3 linked regions of the Pelodiscus sinensis genome follow. The protein of the gene in region 1 interacts with the protein of each later gene in a pairwise test. Links are inferred from orthologs where the notes say so. Each region holds a gene or a part of one and is shown on either strand. Other genes may lie near its edges. The genes, in order: PRKG1, FAM124A and IRAG1.

The links.
Region 2: the proteins of PRKG1 (region 1) and FAM124A interact in binary tests that used the Homo sapiens proteins (3 or more experiments, as listed by UniProt). The two-hybrid records come from large-scale screens. The link is inferred for Pelodiscus sinensis from reciprocal best matches to the Homo sapiens genes PRKG1 and FAM124A.
Region 3: the proteins of PRKG1 (region 1) and IRAG1 interact in a two-hybrid assay, tested with the Homo sapiens proteins (2 studies listed by BioGRID). The link is inferred for Pelodiscus sinensis from reciprocal best matches to the Homo sapiens genes PRKG1 and IRAG1.

What each region holds. Positions count from the first base shown.
Region 1 is NC_134718.1:37,896,827-37,903,980, reverse strand, and holds the start of PRKG1 (cGMP-dependent protein kinase 1), read left to right. Parts: upstream 1-4,128; 5' UTR 4,129-4,424; coding exon 4,425-4,735; intron 4,736-5,939; exon of another isoform or gene 5,940-5,962; intron 5,963-7,154. UniProt on the Homo sapiens protein: Serine/threonine protein kinase that acts as a key mediator of the nitric oxide (NO)/cGMP signaling pathway. GMP binding activates PRKG1, which phosphorylates serines and threonines on many cellular proteins.
Region 2 is NC_134711.1:291,034,923-291,042,143, reverse strand, and holds the start of FAM124A (protein FAM124A), read right to left. Parts: upstream 3,035-7,221; 5' UTR 2,888-3,034; coding exon 2,829-2,887; intron 1-2,828.
Region 3 is NC_134714.1:104,874,259-104,881,520, forward strand, and holds the start of IRAG1 (inositol 1,4,5-triphosphate receptor associated 1), read left to right. Parts: upstream 1-4,242; 5' UTR 4,243-4,365; exon of another isoform or gene 4,366-4,442; intron 4,443-4,520; exon of another isoform or gene 4,521-4,641; intron 4,642-7,262.

The sequences.
Region 1 (7,154 bases):
ACATATACAGCATTTGATCCTTACAGTAGCACCTGGAAGCCATAAAAGATCTGGGAGTGACCCAGTGACTGAGAATCCTAGGGAGTCAGGAAAACCCAGGAGAATAGAGGAAGCCTGTATAGAAAACAGCAGTGAACAGAGAAGCTTCCTAGGAAGAAGGCAGTTATCAGGAAGCCAGTGGTGGTGCTAGCTTACTGATTTCAAAGGCCAAAGCCTAGAAGGATGAAAAGGGCTGGGGGGGGGGGGGGGGGGGGGGGTTAAAAAAACAGTGAAGGGACAGCCTGCTGTTCTTCCTGTGCCAGACAGAGAGCAAAGACTAAAGACAGCTGAAGTCTGAAAGTAAAAAAGGCTGGTGCCTGCTGGCTTTAAGCAGGAACCAAAGGCTGAAGGTGAGGGAGTGGTGAAGAAACTTCGCCAGCCCTGTAGGTGTCGATAGATTGCTGGACGTAGAGGAACCACCAGAAATGAAGATGGGTAGGGGATTCTGTGGGGGTTCTTGCTGGGAAGAGCAGGGTTGTATCCACTTGAAAGAGCTGAAATGGCTGTCCTGGTACAAGGATGGGAGAAGACTGCCCCAGTTCGCCACAGCGTGGTGAGTGCTGCTGGGGCTGTGTCAGAGAACCAATGTGGTCAGGGATGTTGCAGTTGTATTGGATGTGTTCCCTAAATTACAGTGCTGGGATTTCTTATGCACGGGGTTTGCCTATCTAATCTATTAACTCCACATGGGCTCTCCTCAAGAAATGCAAAAAAGGGTAGCAATGGTGTCCTTAGCCTCTGTTTGTCAGAGGCTGGAAATGGGTGATGGGGTGGGATTGCTTGATTATTTTTTCTGTTCATTCCATCTTGGGGCACTTAGTGCTAGTCACTGTTGGAAGACAGAATACTGGGCTAGATGGACCCTTGATCTGACCCAGTATGGCTGTTCTTATCCTCACTGAATTCATAATTAGCCCTGTGGCATCCTTAGGATATTAGAAAACAAATATGGTTGTTACTTTTTGCTGCCAACAGTCGTCAGAGTCGATCACCTGGCAAGATTTTGTTGATAGTAGAAGTGCTTTGGGATTCTTTGGTTTTAAAGTTATATCTATTAAGATTATTTCCGTGTTTATTTGTGGTGGTGTTTGTTGTAATTTGTCACTCAAACTGTCTTTGGATCTCAGTTCCCATGGCTACCACAGGAGCATGTCCTCTATCCATAAGTATGTTTTTTATTTTAGAAAGAATTTAGAGTAATATGACCAGTTTCATTGCTCATAAATATGAGCAGCCAATAACAATGGTTTAAGTGACAAAGTAAGCAGAAGATGTGCAAGCTTTTATAACCATTGATGTCAACCTATTTCAGAGCTTCATGTGTATGACGCTATATAAAACACATCAGTCCTGACCTTGTGCACCTCTGCTAGCTTTATTGATCCAGTGTAATTTCATGGATGTCTTTCCTTTTTCATGTAACATATAGCTATCTAGATTGTAGGTTATGCACTGTAAATGAAATCTAAATAAAAGAATTATGTGGTGTTATTTGCTACTCAAAAGTTATGGATCAATTTCCACTTTGGGTAACAATTGTATTGAAGTCTGGGCTTCAGTCAGCAGCCATACAATTTCATTATCTAAGTGTCAGGGTCTAATCTGATTGGGGGAAAGAAAGAAAAAATAAATATGTTGATTTAAAGAAAGGGAAATAATACATCAATTTTAGCATTCATTTATATTTTGTAAACAGCAAAAGTTATGCAGATGCACTCATCTTTATCATAGAAATATTGTGATAGAACCCAAACAATTTACTAAGATGAAGTGGGAGAAAATATTCAGCAAATTGGGTTCTGAACTTAAAATGTTTACACAGTGTCCATATTTTGAAAAGACAAATGAAATTGTATCACTCTTGGTTTAAAACAGCCCAGCTAAAAGATTTAAACTGCTGCATATTTATTTGAAATGGTATTTGAGCATTGTGTAACCCAAAATTGTTTGTTGAAAAATATACAGAGAATCAAATACATGCAGGAAGCTGCAGAGACTCATCAAATATTTATGGTAATGTTTAGTCCTTTAAAACAATCATTTTGTACTATAAGGGATTTAGAACGTGGTTTTTTTAGATGTTCATCTATCTATATTATAGAGACTATCAGCAGGTGGAAAGCTGGGGCTGTAGAGTCACTCAAGTGGCATTACTCAACAACAGAAAAAGATAAAAACTGGATCCGTCTGCATTTTGAAGTATCTTGTATATTTTCAGTACAAAGCCACAACTGGGGAATGAATCTAGTTACTCCTACTGCATTAAAAAAAGTTTGGACCCTGACACATCTTACTACATGAGTGCTGCAACCATTCATTTGTGGAACCCTACAGCTGCCACCTTCTGTCAGTTTTTGGTCCTCCCTCCTCCCAATTCTAATGCCTAAAAGACTGAAGAGCTAGTCTAGTATCCTGACAAAAAATTAATCTTGATGCTTTCTGGTACATGAAAGCTGCAACAACTCAGATCCAGCATCTGGATTCACCTGGATCTTGTGTCCCTAAAACCCCTAAATTCTATAATTGTGATAGAAGGCCCTGCTGAATCCTACCTCTTTTTAGCACTAACACCCCACCTCATATTATCCAAACCTATATCACTGCTTCTGCTAGACCAGAAGATCTGTGCATCAAGTACATCATTTGTAAGACAAAACTAAAATGCACACTTTACACCTGGGTTTTGCTAGATCCAGAAAATAGTCTATTGTATGTCAGGTCCTCTTTCATAATAAACATGTGATATATATCGTGGCATATGAACATGTGAAAATCCAAATATGCACATGGATCCAGGAGGATATAGCCACTTTTTTCACTTACATCTTGGGGATATATGGCCAAAGGCTTTTGTGACTTTACAGGACACTAGAAATTGAGTGAGTGTGGTCAAACTGGCAGAATCAAAGTGCTAGGTCCTTCACACTGTTCTACTGGAATTTGGTTGGATCTTGCCTTTCCTGTGTTAGATGAACTCTCAGTCTCTTTTGACATTGTGAGATATGGAAGATGAGAGATCAAAGCTGGCTGGATCCAGCTATTGGAACCTATTTTGTGCTCTTCATCCACTGTACTGCAGCGGGGTCTAGGGATTTTTTGAGCACTGGAGGAAATTATGCTTGTCCTCCATAGATCTAGTGGGATTTTTGGTATTGCTGCCCATCACTGCCAGGATCCTAGTCCCATCCACTTATTTTTGAAACATCCGTGTGTAACCGAGAGGCACTGAGACCATTGCCACGGGAGAGTGAAGTCTGCTCTATAGCTAAGGTTGTAGGGCAGACTTCATCATGCTCCCATGTCAGTGGTCTCAGTGCCTCTGGGTTACACAAGCCACAGGCTCTGTCAGGGTGTGCCTGTTTAGAGAGACAATAGGAGCAGTTATATCAGTTCTGGGTCCGTGCAGTGCAATTTGGGTGAGCCAAAGCCTGGCAAGGTCCAGGAAGAACCCCCAGTCACACCGCAAACAGCATTTGAACCCCCAGTCACACCGCGAACAGCATTTGAATAGCAGTCTGGTTCAGGCTGAATGATTCCTTAGGTTTCTTCCAAACTTAAAACGGACTTAATGGCGTGTGAAACCTTAACAATAGATACCTGCTTAGTCTAATAGTTGTAATTACAGTGAATTATTGGATAAGCTGTTGGCTGTAAAATCTGAATGCCTGGCAAAGGGGGAAGCGAAGCCATCCTACCCCAGCGGTAACTTTGTTGGGTGGCATCAGAAAACGGCGCAGATTTTCCTGCCATTGCTTTAGGTTTGGCAGCATTGTGATTTATTTATTCATGTGGGGAAGAGTGAGGGGTGCAGCCGGTTCTAATGCTGGACCTGCCCAGAAAACGGGGCCTTGCTGGAGAAATATTGAAGAGTCTGGAATTGCAAAGCTGCCGCCCCTCTTCCGAAGCAGGGTGGAGGGTAGAGACTCGGGGAAACTAATTACACTTAAAGTAGCCCTGCCCCTGACACAGTCCTAGGGAAAGTGCATGTGTTACCGCATCTTGCAGCCGCCCCTTTCTCTCTCTTCTCTTCCCCCCCCCCCCCCCCCCCCCGTCTCTCCCTCTCCAGTCTAGCCTGACGCAGGCAGATCGAAATCACCCTTAACAACCCAGCCTCCGGGAGAGTGGTGCTGGTGGGGTTCCGTTTAAGATTATGTCGCTAATCCTCCCTCCGTAGCTCTGCGCGGATCGCTGCCAAGCTCCCCCCGCCCCCGCGCAGGCTGGGGGCGTGTTTAAAGGGCTGGAGGAATCCGCCGGCGGCAGGTCGATCGGGAGCGATCGGCAAAGTTGGCTGAAGTGGGGAAGCTGCGGGTACTTCGGGGAAAGTTGCTGGGAGCGGGGGAGAGAGACAGGCTCCGGAAGCAGGAGCCCCTGGCCCCAGGAGGAGTATGGGCACTTTGCGGGATTTACAGTACGCGCTGCAGGAGAAAATCGAGGAGCTGAGGCAGCGGGATGCGCTCATCGACGAGCTGGAGCTGGAGTTGGATCAGAAGGACGAACTGATCCAGAAACTACAAAACGAGCTGGATAAGTACCGCTCGGTGATCCGGCCCGCCACCCAGCAGGCGCATCAGCAAACCACCACCACCTTGCAGGGGGAACACAGGACCAAGAGGCAGGCAATTTCAGCCGAGCCCACCGCATTTGACATCCAGGATCTCAGCCATGTCACCCTGCCCTTCTACCCCAAGAGCCCACAGTAAGCAGGGTTTAAGCGTTGTGTACATCCTGTCTTTGGTAGTTGAATGGTCTCTGTATTGTCTGTCCATCCACTTGTTTAGACGGGTCCTGCACCTTCTGCTTTCCATTTCTGTGCTCATCCTCAGAAATGCCCCCCCCCCCAACCACGCTTCTCTGGGCTGCCCACATTTCTTCAGCCACGGTAGCTGCACGCATCCGTATCCCGCTGTGTCTCTGTCCAATGTCCAGGTATTTCCGAGCCCACTGTGAGCAGAGTTCCCAACCCGTGAAGGGGGAAAGCGCATTCTCCCTAGCGCTGGTGTAACCTTGCCCATCCAAACAATAACCCCGCTAACGGCAGCGTCACCATCAGACTGTCTTTTCCAATGTGGTACGTTCTTATGTCTGGCTTTTTTGTGCTCTTGGTCTCTGCGCTGAGTGTATCCGCAGTGCTGGGTGTTTGACATGTCAACTATATGAAGCAAAATAGAATTTACTATCCGGATTCGGGTGTAGGCTGATCTATCACAAACTGATTTTCTCCCCCGACAAAGGTGTTGCTAATCCCTGAGCTGATGTCAGTCAGCATCCAGAAAGGCAAATCCAATCTCTTGCTTTTCTTTCTTTTTTTTAAATTTGGGACTGCATCTGACAAGTGTGGGGGTTTCAAAGGTCTTACTTGATACAAATCCACATGTCACTAGTTCCACAGCGTTCTGCATAACTGCTTTGCACGTTTCCGGGGGCTAAGGATGTCTCTGAGCTGTGGCTGTGGGCAGGGAGCTAAGTTTGCACATTTTTTAGGTTTTAAACACCGCCCATTGGGACGCACAACTTGGATATAAAAATTGGCTCTTGGCTGTAGCTTAGCAGCCAAGCCCACCGAACTACTAGAGGAGATTTACAATATAAATCCGGTCCACTACACCTGCTAACTTGCATTTAAATCATCCCCCCAGGCGGTGATATAACTGACATAACCAAGGAAATTCCGAGGTTAAAAGTTGCATGGCATGTATGCAGTCAGCCAATTATGGCTGAGGATTAGAGCACATGCTGTTATGCGCTGCTAGGAAACTCCTACGCTGTGCCCAACAGGAGTAAAGGGCTGAGGGGAAGAGAAGGGTTTGTTTCTTTGCTCTGTGCTTTGTTTCCATCCTTAGCAGTCTTTGCTGTCCTCATCTTCTTGTAAGGAGAGGCTGCCGTAACTGTCACGTGACAGAAAACTCGGCAGTCCTTTGTTCAGGTGTGTAAGAAAGTGCTTTTCTTGGTGTTCGTCATGCAGCATAGCCGCTTCTGTCTGGGCTGAGAGGAGGTGTTCAGAGTTTAATGGGGCAGGAACCATAGGTGGACGCGAGTGTTGTTTTAGAAGGTTTATATTGAGCTCCAAGAGCAGTTTTTGTGTGTCAGTTTAAGAAAGTTTATGGGGAAATCCTAAATTTTCACTCCGTTTCCAGCTTAGTCCTGTATCTTAACTGTATATATTGGAAGACTTACGGGTGTATCTAATGAGGTATGTGGCCTTGTCTACTTATGCACATTTGGACAAAGTGACGGTCATAATATGATACTTCCCTGGTTATAGTATAGTTCTGTGCCATTTGATTGGATTTTATAAAGGGCTTTAGAGTAATGAACATAAACCAATTAAATGTATCTAAAGATAACATGAGAAATAATGACTTTGGGGTGAACAATGCTCATCTCAAGATACGAATGAAAAATAAAACCGATCAAAGTCTTGCTGGCAGTGTAATATGGCGTGAAAGGCAGAGGAAGTGGTGGGTGGAGTAATAGGTGTGAGGAGTTCCTTACCTGACATGCAGCCCAACTACAAGAAAATCGGGGACCATCCTAAAGTTGAGACCAATGCGCAGGTTTCCACCAGATTCATGTGCTGAATAATGCTCTGCCTACCTTCAGGTTACTCTTCCTCGCTCTTGTGAGCTTTTCCAGAAGGAAAAAAAGCTGCTCCAGTGACTTTTGCCACTGGGCTGTTTTGGTTGCCAACACAGTAGATGAAGGGACAATTGTAATAAATCTTTCAAGCTTTAAATAAAATTGGGAAGTCATCTATTCTTGTTTCACATTTGCAGCCACAGACTATGCAAGTTGGTTTAAGTAAGAAAACCGAGTACATCTAGAAGAGAGACTATATCCTCCATAGAGTGTTTAATCTTTTTCACTATCCAATACATGTTGATATGTTTGGTCCCGTAATCACGAGAAAGCTTGTATACTTTTAAATTCATGGTTTATATCAAAATACCACACGTATTTCATGTACTATCGGCACAATTACTTTAAAAGAGTCATTTTGGAAATAAATGTTTTTAATTTTGTTATCAAAAGGTTTGCAGTTCAGTGTACTAACTTAGCATATTCTCCTAGACCATAAGGTGAGTGGGAATTTGTGTGGGTGGAACAAATCTGCTAGA
Region 2 (7,221 bases), on another chromosome or scaffold:
GCAGGACCCAGAAAATATCTAGCACAACTGAAATATGATGGAGAGATGGCAGCTTCCTCTGGTCCTGTTGGAGCCAGAGGATGAGCAGGACCAAGAGACATCAAGGGCTAAAGTCTATGCTCTCTCTCCCTCAGTCTAAAAAGAGGAGGGAAGTGAGACCAAGAGATTATAAGGGTGTAAATCCCTTGTCCATGGCTCCCTCCACAGGAGTTCCACTTGAGGAATTAGCCGTCCTCCCCACAGATAGCCAGATGGCAAGAGAAGACAGCAGCATCTGAGATAGAGAATTTCCCCAGCAGCCTGCTCTCTTCTGAACTGAACATTGCATCAACAATGGATGAGAGTAGGAACAGAAGGGGACTTGAAAAAAAAATTGTCTTGTGAGCAAAACACTAGACTGAGCCTCGGGATAGTTGGGTTCTATTCAGAGGTGAAAGTGGGCCAGTATGGGCTGGTACAGCATACCAGTAAGCATCGGCCACTGCTCCTGGCTCATACATGGCTGATGTTAAAATGTTCCCACACTAGCACTTTAACATCACTGCCCCTGTTGCTCCCCTGTCTTTGCTGGTAGGATCCAGCAGCGCTGCCAGATCCTATTGGCAGGGCAACCAATGAGGGAGGAGCAAAAAGGGGCAGCTTCCCTGGGCCACGGTGATTTAAAAGGGTCAGGGTCAGGAAGCAGCGCCTTGGGGTTGGGGTACTTTGCTTGCTGCTGCTATAGTGAAGTAGAGCGCAGCAGGCCAGGAGAGGGTGATGAGGCAAAGTGGAGCAGGCTGCTGGATTGCTCCAGCTCCCACCATTCCAGTGAGTGGGGGTATGTGACCCCTGCTGCCACCCTGCCAGGTCTCCCAGGTAATTCCACTGATCCCATCCACAGGATGGCTGAGGTGGTGACTTCGGGGGACCCCAAAGTGTGGAGACAGAGGCGACCGCCCTGAACCATCTTATGGCTGGGATGGCTCTGGCTCTGATCTCCTGGCTTCTGTTACCGCATCAATGGTGGCTGGAAGCCCCATGCCCTTCAAATCACAGCTGGAGCCCCACAGTTCCCAGCTGCTGATGCTGCTGCCATGGAAGGCAAGAGCTGGCTGGGGGGGGGGGGGGGATCTGGCCCCAGCCCTACCCCTTCCACTAGAGGCTCTGCCCTTTTTGGGGACCAGAGCCACCTCCCACCTTGCCAAAGACCACAGTCCACTGGTAAATTCTGGCAATTACTTTCACCCCTGGTTGTGTTCCTGATTCTGCCAGAACCTTTCTGTGTAACCTTGGCCAAATCACTTGGTAGGCTTTTTGATGCCCCACCTGTAAAATGGGGATATGATGATGAGGACAGCTGGGTGCTGTGAGGGTAAATTCATTAAGATTGTGTGGCACTCTGATTCTCTGAGGCTACATCTAGACCGCTTTCCTTTTTTGGGATACTGGAGGTATCCGAGAAAAGCAACATCGCGTCCAAGGAACACATTTAAAAACAAAACAAAAAAAGAGGACGTGCTCTTTCGCCATCCCTGTAAACTGCGTTCTACGAGGATAAGGGATGTGTCAAAAGAGCATTTTACTTCAACATTTGGCTCCCTGTAGAAAAAGCCTCTTTCAAAAGAAAATCTGAAAAAGATACGCAACTTTCCAATATAACATTGCAGTGTAGACCTAGCCTGAGAGAGAACTATTTCCTGCTTCCCCATGACACTACAGAGGAGGCTTAACAGGTGGAGCAACCCTCCAAGTCCTTTGGGGAGCTGGGCAGGAGGAGGCAGCAGCTAGAAGGAGACCCCTTTTTGCCTGCAGCTGTTCCTAGTCTTGTGCACAGTATATTTGAGCTCCTGTGCATATCCCTGGAGAGCTCCTGCTGTGCGCTTGCAGCCTCCCTTGTCTGTGTGGGCCTCTCACACAGCACCACTCGCATACATGCCAACAAGGAGCCGGGAGGACTGAGGTGGGCACTTGGGGTCAGCATCGTGTAATGATTATTGGTGACTTATTACAGATATGTCTTTTGTGTGCGCTGACCAGGCCCAGATTAAGATCTTTAGAGGCCCTAAGCATTGAAAAGATCATGGTGCCCCCCCCCATGAAATTCAAAATAAAAATAATACTATACCATAAAATCTCTTTTTTTGTGTGCCCCTGCTTTGCTTGTGCCCTAAGCACGTGCTTAGTCTGCCCATTGGGTAATCCAGCCCTGGCGCTAACTGAAAGCCAAACCTTGGGAGCAAATACCCTGAATATTTAGGACTGAGTCCAGATTCAGCTCCGCTTTTTTTCCAGCCGGCAACTGAACACTGACAGTACAAAACTTCACTCAGCAGGCAGCCACAGAACAGACTTTGTATGTGTGTGGACGGGGTGGGGGGCAGCTCCGGACCCGCGGCTGCCTCTTGCAGCAGGCACAAAAGAAAGGAGGAAGCCGAGAAACGCAACAAGTGCGGCAGCATCTCGGCCCCTCTGGCTGCGGGAGCTGGGAAAAGAAACCCAAACCAGCAAGACGCAGGATTAGGAGCGGATCCCCCCCCCGACCCCATCTGCCGCCCAGTGGTGGAGCCGGGCGGGACAAGCCGCCTTCGCGCCTCCGCGAGAGCCGAGATGCCCAGCCGCTTTCTAGCGCCCGCGGCGGCAGGTGTCACTAGAGGGGAGGGCAGGGGAAGCGCCGCCACCCCCGGGCCAAGCAAGCGGGGACCGCTCCCTGGCCAGGCTCTCCCTCCCCCAGAGCCTGGGCTGCGGAGCCGGCTTCCCCCAGCCGGATCGGGGCCCCCGCGCCCACCCCGTCCTGCGCCGCCGCCTCTCTCCCCAGCCCCTGCGCTGCCCGCGCCCTGCCCGGGACTCACCCGCCAGTCTCGGCTCCCGAGTCCACGCAGTCATCCTCGCCGCCCGCCTTCCGCTCCATGGCAGGCGTCAGGGCTGCTCCATCCCCCGCCTCCTGCCCGCGGCTGGCTGCGGCCGCCTCCCGCAGCCCCAGCGCCCTGGGTGCGGAGCCAGAGCTGCGCCGCGCAGGCCGCCGGGCTCCTCTCTGCGGTGGCAGCCGGAGCGTGTGCGGGAGCCTGCCCGCCCCCCTGCCAGCCCCGCCGCCGGGTGTCAGCGCCGCTCCTCTGGCCCGGCCTCCTCCCCGCCTTTGTGCGCGGCTCGCCCCCCACGCACCCCCCAGTGGCCTGCCCGCTCTACAGCAGCCACGCGCTCCTTGAGAAGGGGCGCAGCTCTACTGGGGAGAAGGCCCCACGCTTTGGAAGTGGGTCTGTCTCACAGGTGCCATCATCACTGATAAAAGCTCCCCACCAGGCCCTCTTAAGCACATCTATGAGTGTCACACACGCGCTTGGGAGTACATGACACAAATTCTATATCCAAGGAGCCATCCTGCTTAATTCCAGTGGCTGTGACTGAAGTTTGCCTTCTCCCCTTTCCCCCTCTTTTGCCGGTTACCAGGAGCTACCTTTCAGTGACCTGGGGTACTTTGAGATCTGCTGGGATGACATGGAAAGGATTATTGCCAGGGCTTTTCAAAGGATCAAGGGCATGTCTACATTAGGATGTTTTGTCAACTTAGCCATACTAGTTAAAGACATAACTTCCCTGTGGTGAGCACAGTTATGTAGCTATAAGGATGCTTACATTGAATGGTAGAGCTTATTCAGGTTTAGGAAGTGAAATAAGTTATATGGGCATAAGGCCCTTTAAAATTGCATATAGGTTAGGTGTACAGCAGTATAATGATACTAGTTACAAAAAATCAGCCTTAAAGCAACATGTAACTTCTCTAGTGTAAAGCCTCAGGCTGTGTCTAGACTACAGGCTTCTTTAGGAGGAAGCTTTTTTCGGAAGAGATCTTCCAAAAAAAGTCTTCCGAAAGAGAGTGTCCACACTGCAAAAGTGCATCGAAAAAGCAATCTGCTTTTTCAAAAGAGAGCGTCCAGACTGAATGGATGCTCTCTGGCATATAAGCTGTGATTGCTATGGACGGAATGGCCACCGGGGCACCTGTGTTTTTTCCTCTTCTTCCAAAAGAACTCCCTCTTCCCCATCCACAAATGCCTTTTTGCAAAAAAGCTCTTTCACAAAAAGGCTTCATAGAATGAGGATTACCAATGCCAGAAAAGCCCCTCTGTTCTTTCGATTTTCTTGCAGAAGAATGCAATGGCTGTGTGGACGTAAGGGAAGTTTTGTCAGAAAAACGGCTGTTTTTCCGACAAAACTCTGTAGTGTAGACACACCCTCAGAGACTTTGTCTACACTGCATGCTTATTTTGAAATAACTTGTTATATCTAAATAACAGAGTGCGCATCTACACAGCAAGTCCGTTATTTCGAAATAATTTCAAAATAGTGGGCTTCTTACTCTGACTTCGGTAACCCTCATTTCACGGGGAGTAAGGGAAGTCGAAGGAAGTGTGTTCTTCCTTCAACTTCCTGTTGGGTAGACAGTGACAAAAGCCAAGTTAAGCTACCTTGACTTCAGCTACACAACTAACATATCTTTACTCAACTTTAGACAGCAGTGTAGATGTACCCAGAGGGTTAGCTGTGTTACTCTGTATCTGTAAAAACAACAAGGAGTCCTGTGGCACCTTAAGGAATGTCTGCACTAGGAAATTATTTTGAACTAAGGGTATGTCTACACTACAATGTTAGTTCGAACTAACGGACGTTAGTTCGAACTAACATTCATAGCCGCTACACTAGCGCTCCGCTAGTTCGAATTTGAATCAAACTAGCAGAGCGCTTAGTTCGAACTAGGAAAACCTCATTTTACGAGGATTAAGCCTAGTTCGAACTTACTAGTTCGAATTAAGGGGTGTGTAGCCCCTTAATTCGAACTAGTGGGAGGCTAGCCCTCCCCAGGTTTCCCTGGTGGCCACTCTGGCCAACACCAGGGAAACTCTATGCCCCCCTCCCGGCCCCGGAACCCTTAAAGGGGCACGGGCTGGCTACGGTGCCCGTGCCAGGTGCAAGCCTGCCAGCACCCAGCCAGCAGACCCTGCAACTGGCACGGCACAGAGCCACCCATCCGATGTCCCCCAGCCCACCCCCTCTTCCCGGGACCAGGCTGGCGGCTCCCGGGAGCTTGCCCTGGACCGCAAGAGGCGGGCACCTTCCTGGGCTAGTGCGGACATCGTGGACCTCGTCCACGATCTCCGCACTAGGCACAGGAAAGTGGCCGTCTAGGGCAGGAGAGCTGCCAGCCTGGCCACCCAGGAGCAGGTGTGCATGAAAATCAAGGGGGTCCACTGAGACCCCCGACCCTGAGCCCTGAGCTTACAATGGCCGTCCTGGGTCAGACCAAAGGTCCATCTAGCCCAGTAGCCTGTCTGCCGACAGCGGCCAACCCTAGGGACCCTGGAGGGGATGGACCGAAGACAGTGACCAAGCCATTTGTCTCGTGCCATCCCTCTCCAGCCTTCCACAAACTTTGGGCAGGGACACCACTCCTACCCCCTGGCTAATAGCACTCCATGGACCCAACCTCCATGACTTGATCTCACTTCCCTTTAAACTCTGTTCTAGTTGTAGCCTTCACAGCCTCCTGCAGCAAGGAGTTCCACAGGTTAACTATTTGCTTTCTGAAGAAGAACAACTTTCTCTTACTAGTTTGAAGCCTGCTACCCATTCCTTTCCTTTGGTGTCCTCTAGTCCTTCTTTATGGGAACTCAGGAAGAACTTTTCTGTGTGCACCCTCTCCACCCAACCCCTGCTTTTAGAGACCTCTATACTGTCCCCGCTCCATCTCCTCTTTTCTAAGCTGAACAGTCCCAGTCTCTGTAGCCTCTCTTCATCTGGGACCTGTTCCCAACCCCTGATCATGTTAGTTGCCCTCCCCTCTCCCAGCCTTTCTCTTCCCCTCTCCCACCTCCTTTTCCCAGTCTCCCCCAGTTTTGTTCAATACAGACAGAGTCAATGTTGGAAGAAACGTTATCTTTATTTTGTACATCAATAAGAAGGGGGGCTAGGGAAGGGTAAGTGGAAGGAGGTGAGGGAGGAATGGGGTACGAGCCCCCGATGGGGAGGACTGGGCTGGCTCTGCGGGCTTCTGGGGGTGGAAGCTCTCCTGCAGCCCCCCGATTGCCCTCTCTCCCCAGATGGCAGCCTGTGGCAAGTGCAGCCGGTCTGATGGCCGAGTGGTGTGATGTGTCCAGTGTGGGTACTCCGGGCAATCCAAGCCAGGACTGCTTTGCAAGCGGGGCACCCTGAGAACTGTCTGTCCGGGGTGGGGGTCGGGTCCCTTTAAGCGCAGCCCTCGGCTAGCCTGAGATAGCAGCTCCACGCTCTAAGTCCTCCTCTGATGCCCTGCTGGCACTGCTTCCGGCCATCCTTAAGCCCTGTTCAGGGTCCACTCAATGTGGACTTGCTAGTGTAGCGCCTATGAAAGTTAGTTCGAACTAACTCTGTAGTGTAGACATACCCTCAGAGCCACTTGAACCCACATTGCACTGTGCCCCCACTCCCTGCCAGCAATTAGCGCTGTTTGGATTGCACTGACCAGGGCTTGTGGGAAAATTTAAAGTGCCTAGGGCTTCAGTCACTGCTGTTGCCACAGTAGCAGCAGTGGTAGTGGTGGCCAGGAGCCCTGTGACCTTTTGACTCACCACACCCTGGGGGAGTTGTCTCTTTTGTCCCCCTCTGTTGGTAGGCCTGAAGGCTTATATACAATATAAGCTCTGTTCACTGATGTCCCCTTCCCCTTCCACTGAGTTAGTAAAAACTAGTTTGGATAAAGTATCAGAGGGGTAGCCGTCTGCAAAAGCGATGAAGAGTCCTGTGGCACCTTATAGACTAACAGATTTATTGGAGCATAAGCTTTCATGGGCAAAGACCCACGTCATCAGATGCATGTAGTGGAAATTCCAGAGGCAGGTATAAATATACAGGCATAAGAAAAGAGTTCCAATCAAGAGTAAGGCTAGAGATAACGATGTCAATTCAGTCAGGGAGGATGAGGCCCACTTCTAGCAGCTGATGTGGAGGTGTGAACACCAAGAGAGGAGAAACTGCTTTTGCAGTTGGCCAGCCATTCACAGTCTTTGTTTAATCCTAAACTGATGGTGTCAAATTTGCAGATGAACTATAGCTCAGCAGTTTCTCTTTGAAGTCTGTTCTTCAAAGTTTGGATAAAGTACTAGACAGAGTCCTATAAGGAGCAATCCTGCACTATCCAGGGGATGTCACATCCATACATTACAATATTTATACATTTAAATATTAAGGGACAGATTCTGCCCCACTTCTTCC
Region 3 (7,262 bases), on another chromosome or scaffold:
CAAAACTTAAAAATAAACAACCCAAAGATGAAGCCTTCTGTAGCACAAGGGATTGATTTAATTTAATGTTGATTTTTAGCTTTTCACAGTTTAAAACTTGGTTTAGGAAAATATATGAATCTCTGTTCATGTACTGTTTATTTAATTCATCAGTAGATTAAGGGACAGAGTTTTTGTTAGGGGGCTGGATTTTTTTGAGGAAGAACGTATGGAGTCTTTTTGAACTGATGGATGATGTACTTTCTGGCTATCTCAGTCTGTTCTTTTGAATGACTCTTCACACTGTGCTTGGCTCTTCTCTCCATTGATTGTGTCTTTGTGGGCTGCAGCTGACACTCTTACACAGTCTGGGTCATTGACTGTCCCTGGCCTTTCTCCATGATGTTCTAACTTTTTGTTCTCTTCCTGAGTTTACTATCCTTGCTTTCTGAACCCATAAAATGTTCTTCCCTTCTCCTTTATACTCCTTATGCCCTTTGAACAATCTCTGCCCTTTTTGTGCTTCCTAAGCCTGATTTATCCCTTGCTTTTCTCCATGTTGTCTCTGTGTTGCTCATGGCTTTTTCAGCTGTTTTCTGACTGCTTTGTTTTACATTGGCATTTACAGACTCTCTCCCCATTTGATATACGTGGATGTGCTACAGTTATTAAGAAGTGAGTGATATTATCTCTGACTCCTGAAAGGCCTCTGTATGGCTTCCAATAGACACACAATTTTTGCATCTCCTCTATGTGGTTTTAGGTGTGGGCTCCAGTGTGTACTTCAGTAAAGTTCTGGTTCAATTTTTTACTACTAGGTCATTAGTATTGTTTGGTATGACTAGCTCTGAGCTATCCTGATATTTGTTACAGCCAAGTAAGGCAAAAAAAAAAAAAAAAAAAAAAAAAAAAAGCGAACTCCTAACAAGAAAGAATAACTTAGAAAATACAAGAATAGAACAATTTTTATAGCAGTTCCAGTAGCTAAATACTAATGATGATTGACAGTCTCATTGAGAAGGTGTAAAAATGGGACCAGTGGACCCAAAACTACAGGAATACACCCAGAGTATTTTTTCATGCCCAAGAGCATGGAAGTATCCATTGTAGGGCAAAGGTCCTAGAACTTTACAACTGCTCTCTGGAGATGTTATTTTTAAACATCAAATTCTAAAATTCATTTAATAGAATCCTAATTTAATATCAGAATGTTACACTACTGCGCAACTGGAGGGTTTTTGCAGTAGAAAGATTTCTCTATTCTTGGTTCTGTGCTTGCAAAAGATAGGATCTAGTCTTTCACAAGATGTAAACAATTTCTCTGTGTTTTTACCATTGCATTACAGAGAAAAAGTTTCAGAAAGAAGGTAGAGCCAAATGGTAACAAGTAGAATAATTAATACTTCATACTATGCCTAGCGTCTTTATTCTTAAACTCCTGAAAATAGTACAGGAATTTATTTGTAATTTTACTAAGAACTGCTTCTTTCAGACATTACTGAGGAATTTTCATCTTTACACAAATAAATCAAATGTTCAGATGAATTTAATCATTATTTTCTTCTTCTCGTCTCCCAGGAAGTTAATTTTTTCAAATAGCAGATTCCAAATTAAGATTCAGTCTATGCCAAATTAGAGTCATTGTTGGTCAGAAAATAATTTGTGCCTAGAGTTGCTTCCAAGAAGTAAAGACCTTGGGTGAAAAACTCCTATTAACTTCAATGAATTTTGGGTCAGGCTTAGCCAGAGACCAGAGCTAGAACAGTTTTATATAATAGCCAGACAGGTTTTATGTCTGTCAGAGCACTATTGAGCAGAATAGAAATTTTACCCTAAATCAACAGAGAAAATGTCAACTAGAAAATGTCTTTGGGATACAGAAAAATAGAATGCTCACTGAAAATGGCACAAAGTAGGAATAGATAGTTTTTATTCCAAGGAATATGTTTTTGAATATTTAAAAAATTGAGTGATTAAAAGATGTCAGCAGCAAAGAGGTAAAGAAATAATTTCGTATTGCTGGGGGAATGTAATTAGGAGCAATAACAGTATTTTGTATTTATAGGGTGATTTTATTCTGAGGACAGCAGTGGAGTGTCATGAAATTAAGCAATTGTAAATTTAGGCTAAATACTATAGAATAGTCTCTCTCAAAAGTTGCAGGCAACAGGGGTGCTGGGACTAAGGGTGCTGGGATACAACGGCACTCCTTGGCTTGAAGTGGTTTCCATCATTTACATTTCATATCATTTGACTAATTTAGAAAACTTATAGAGGCTGTGTCTACACTGGCCGCCTATTACGGAATAGGCATGCAAATGTAGCACTTTGGAAGAGGCAAATCCGCGGAGGATTTAAATATCCCCGCGGCATTTGCATTTTCATGGCCGCCGCTTTTTTCCGGCTTGGAGATAACCTGGAGAAAAGCGTCCAGACTGGCGCGATCCTCCGGAATAAAGCCCTATTCCGGAGGATCTCTTATTCCTACTTGCAAGTAGGAATAAGAGATCCTCCGGAATAGGGCTTTATTCCGGAGGATCGCGCCAGTCTGGACGCTTTTCTCCGGCTTATCTCCAAGCCGGAAAAAAGCGGCGGCCATGAAAATGCAAATGCCGTGGGGATATTTAAATCCTCCGCGGAATTGCCTCTTCCAAAGTGCTACATTTGCATGCCTATTCCGTAATAGGGGCCAATGTAGACGTAGCCATAGAATGTTCTGTCATGTGTTTTCATCCTGGGGGTGATTGACCAAAAGTGTCAGGGGCTCATGACCACATATTCCTCCCCATATTACTAAATGGGACAAGGTTCCTGCATAGATAGGGAGTCTCAGTCTGGCGAAGTTTGAAAACCACTGTACCAAAAGACACACACACCAGCACAGGATGGACTGGATGACCTACTGGATTTGTAGTGTGATATTTGTAGAGGCTTTGGTTATGGACATGATCAAAAAATCTAGAGGACAGCATGGGGGAAAATCACAAAGGAACATAGAAGATAGGAGAATTTAGAAGTTAGCTCCCTCTTCTGTTACTAACATGGCACTTTTTTATGCTGTCTGAACACAGATTTAGTTTCTTTAAGAATTATTCAGTTAAATTGTCTTTTACCTCTGAGAAAAAGTGCTTTATAATTTAGTGTCTTCTTATTCATCCAGTCCTTAATGTCACTGAGTCACAATCTATTCCATTCACTCCACCAGCTATGCTACATTATGATCTGGCCACCATTGTTCATCTCACCCACAAGCATCTTCATGTCTTCTTTTATATTATCCTTTTCACGTGGAACATGTTTTCCAAGTACATTTACAGAGTTCCATGTTCCTCCTTAAAATCCTTTCTATCTGACCCACTTCTTCCATGATACGCATGGTCAGATGTTGCATGATACTGGCTACGAAGATGAACTAATAGTGATTCATTATTTCTTGTTCACTTAAATTGACTCCCATTATGCAGTCTCTAAATTTTACACCTAGCTAGCATGTACAATTTTGTATTTTTAATTCTGTCACAAGTATCTCCCCGCCCACCACCTGCTCTTCTGCTGCATTCTATGCTTCTTGCATTTCATATAATAGGGCTCTGATCCTGCTTGGGATCCTCAACTGAGTACTGCTGTAATATTAAATAAATAATCAGTAGTCCAACAATTGGAGGAAAACCTGTGTGCTATCCCAGAGTTAGCATCTGTAAAATTACTGCTTTATTCCTTTCTTTCTCTCTCTATAAAACACTGAAAAGAAAACAATTTACTATGTTGTAGGGGCACAATCTTCCCCCCTGCAAGATGTGAACAGCCCTCCCCCCACTTTAATGAGAGTTACTCAGCTTCTGTGAGGTGAATATAGGGGTCATTATTGGAAAGAGGCCAATGTTCTTTACAAGCTCACATGCCTTTTTAGTGGGTCATCTTATTTAGGCAGCCTCTGACCAACCAAAGGAAAAACTTCTTCAAATTACATTTATTCTTGTAAAACTTCATAGTAAGGGTTAACACATTAAGATGAAAATCATATTTCATCAGTTCTTCCTACTTGCCTATTTTAATCAGTTATTCAGAAATGAGTAATAGAAGCTCAGGCACAGAGAGCTCAGAAAATGCTAATGTGGTGTCTCTGTCTTTTGCTCTCAGAGGCTTATGCCAGAATAGAGAAAGCCTTTTATTCCACCATTCTGTGGAGTCAGAAGAAAGGCATATTCTGAAGCATTAGTTTCAATTGAAACTCACCCACTGTTAGTCTGCTGACTGTCTTGGGTCTCTGAGTTCGAAACTGCTTCAGCTCAGTTAATAGAGCCAGCTGTAATATTGACCTTAAATGGTAAAAGCTGTGAGAGTGAGGCCCGCCTGAGGGGAAAAAGAGGAATAACTCAGTTTTAGGTAAGTAATCTATGAAACCAAGAATAAACTGTCTCCTTCAGCTGTGAAACAGAACGGAACCAGTTTATTCCTTAAAGGTATAGTACCTCATTGTTATGATACCGCACTTTCTTGGGTAGCTTCCCCCCCACCATTAAATTGACTGTGTGTCAAAAAATGGGTGTAGCAAGACATTGTACTTAACAAAATCTGGTTTTTCTTGCATACTCTTTTGGGGAGAGACAAGTATGCTAAAGAAAAGCCTGTTCTGGTTAGATAGAAGTTTGCTAAAGAAAGGTAGGTTAATCAGTAATGAAATGTAACCCTGATTCAGAATAATTGGTAACTATACTGTGCTGTTTGAGATAATTTTAAACATTTGTCTATAAACATTTAAGGGTAGTAAATTATTAATTCTTTTTGTTTAAAATACAGTTGTATGATCGGTTTCCTTGCATGCACTCTTTTAACAGTGTAGGCACCAGAGTTGCTCATTTTGATGGGTTACCTAGCTGTCTCCTAAAAGACAGGTTCCAGAGATGTTTCTTGAGACATTTCTTTCTATAGTACATGTTTGCTTTTAAATACCAATAAGAATAAACAAATGCTGATAATTTATAACTAACTCAACTTTTTAAATTCTTCATTATCCATAGAAAATAACCCCCTACTTTGCAAATTTAAGTATCTTAAAATTCTAAGTTTTTTTTAAAAAATCACAGTATTATAGGTTTCTGATATTTTTAAATTTGTTTAAGTCTGTACTGAAGCTGTTGATAGTTACATTTCCTTTATTTGGTAAATTAAAAAAATATATACTTCTTGTGATTTAAAAATATGTATGTTAAGAATTTTTTCAGAAAGAAATAAGTAAATAAGAATTCAAATCAGGGTCATGACTGTTCAGGCCAGTCATATTAATAATATAAGTGCTCCTTAGTGAATTAGATTTCAAGCTTCTAAAAAATAGCCTGATTTCACCTGGTGAAAAATTCCTGTGCAACGAAGTACACATGATGAGAACAGATACCTACATTAGCTTCTGCTGCATGTTATTTAGAAAAAGCATTTTTGTTCTGATTAGAGACAGAGTTCCTGCAAAGAGCTGCTACATTTCTTTTTGACACTGGTACGTGTTGTATACACCTTATGTGAAAATTCATTACATCCAGTTTCAAGATAATATAGCACATGTTTCTTAATTGCTTTAACATTCAGAGCCAGTTACAAATATTATTATTTACTTCACTGTTATTTTTCTCTGAAATTTGAGTCTTTCATTAGCGGCTATTTTTCCACTAGTTCATCATACTTTAAATCATTCATAATGTTGACTTGCATCTACTGGTATCCTAAAAATAAATCTCCAGGAAATGTAAATGAATATATTTATTAGGTTTTATAATTAGGCTACTTGGATGAAAGGAAATAACAAAATGCAGCCTGCAAAATGCAGATGAATATTGTGGGTGACACAGTCAGAAACAATCCAATACATTAGACAAAGAAAATGCTGTACTATATATAGGGAACTTCATTTTTCAAAACATTCCAGTGACTAAGGGCCTTATTCTGATCTCTTAGACTTATATGTATCTTCATTTGTGGGCCACATGGATGTGATTTCAGTGTGTATGATGATTCACATTTGTCAGTCATACGTAGCTTTGGATCATTTGGATCATTGTTTATTAATAACTTCATATGGGGACTGGACTAATATCTGCTTTTCAGTTTTAAACAAGTTGTTATGCTTACACCTACGCTACATCTACATTGGCAAGATTTTGCGCAAATACTTTTAACGCAAGAGTTTTTGTGTTAAAGTATTTGTGCAAGACAGCGTCTACACTGGCATGTGCTTTTGCGCAAGAGATGCGCTTTTGTGCAAAAGCATCCATGCCAGTGAAGATGCTCTCTTGTGCAAGAAGCTCCAAGGCCATTTTAGCCATCGGGCTTTCTTGCGCAAGAAATTCATGTTGCCTGTCTACACTGGCCTCTTGCGAAAGAACAGTTGCACAAGAGGGCTTTTTCCTGAGCGAGAGCATCATAGTTCTTGTGCAAGAAGCCCTGATTTCACACATTAGAACATCAGTGTTCTTGCGCAAGAACTCCCCGCCAGTGTAGACAGGCAGCATGTTTTTGTGCAAAAGTGGGAGCTTTTGCGCAAAATCTTGCCAATGTAGACGTAGCCCTAGTGCAGAGCTAGAGCGGTATTTTTTGTTAATATCACATTTTATAGCAACTTGCCAGTGGGGCCAACAGACTCGTTGGGCATTTGTGTGTGTGTGTGTGTGTATGGGTGTTGGTGGTGGGGGTGTGTGTGTCACAGAAGGAGCAGATCCTCATCCAAAAGGAGCAGGTTTGGGGTTTATCTTCCCTAGGCAGCCTTCAGTGCTGCCCACAGTGCGCTGCACCTATCCAAGGCAGTCCCCAGCACTCCTGGAGTGTGTCATGTGGCTCTTCAGCAGTGATTTAAAGGGCCTGGGACTCCTGCCACTGCTACAGTGGCAGCCCCAGGATCTTTTGAATTGCTGGGCCCTTGTGCACTTGTCTTTTTTGCCCTCTCAGCTCACCCCCCTCATTTGTGGGCCTACAATTTGCCAGTTAGTGTTTTATCAGACATTATACATTGTAAATCAAGAAAGAATGTAACACTCAGAATGATAGTTGTTATAATTCCTTAATTAAAAACACTCATACTTTATATACAAATGCAGGTAGCTCTCATGCACTGATATTTCCTAGACCTCTGTGGTATCTGGATGCACTTTTCACTTAGTCTATTTTTTCAAGGGTCAGTGATCTCACAAATCCCAGGCCATGGTTCCATGGATCCAGGCACCAAGCAGAGAGGGGACTAATGGCTACTCAGTGGCTGGATACATAGGTCTAAAGATTTGGGGGGGGGGGGTGAC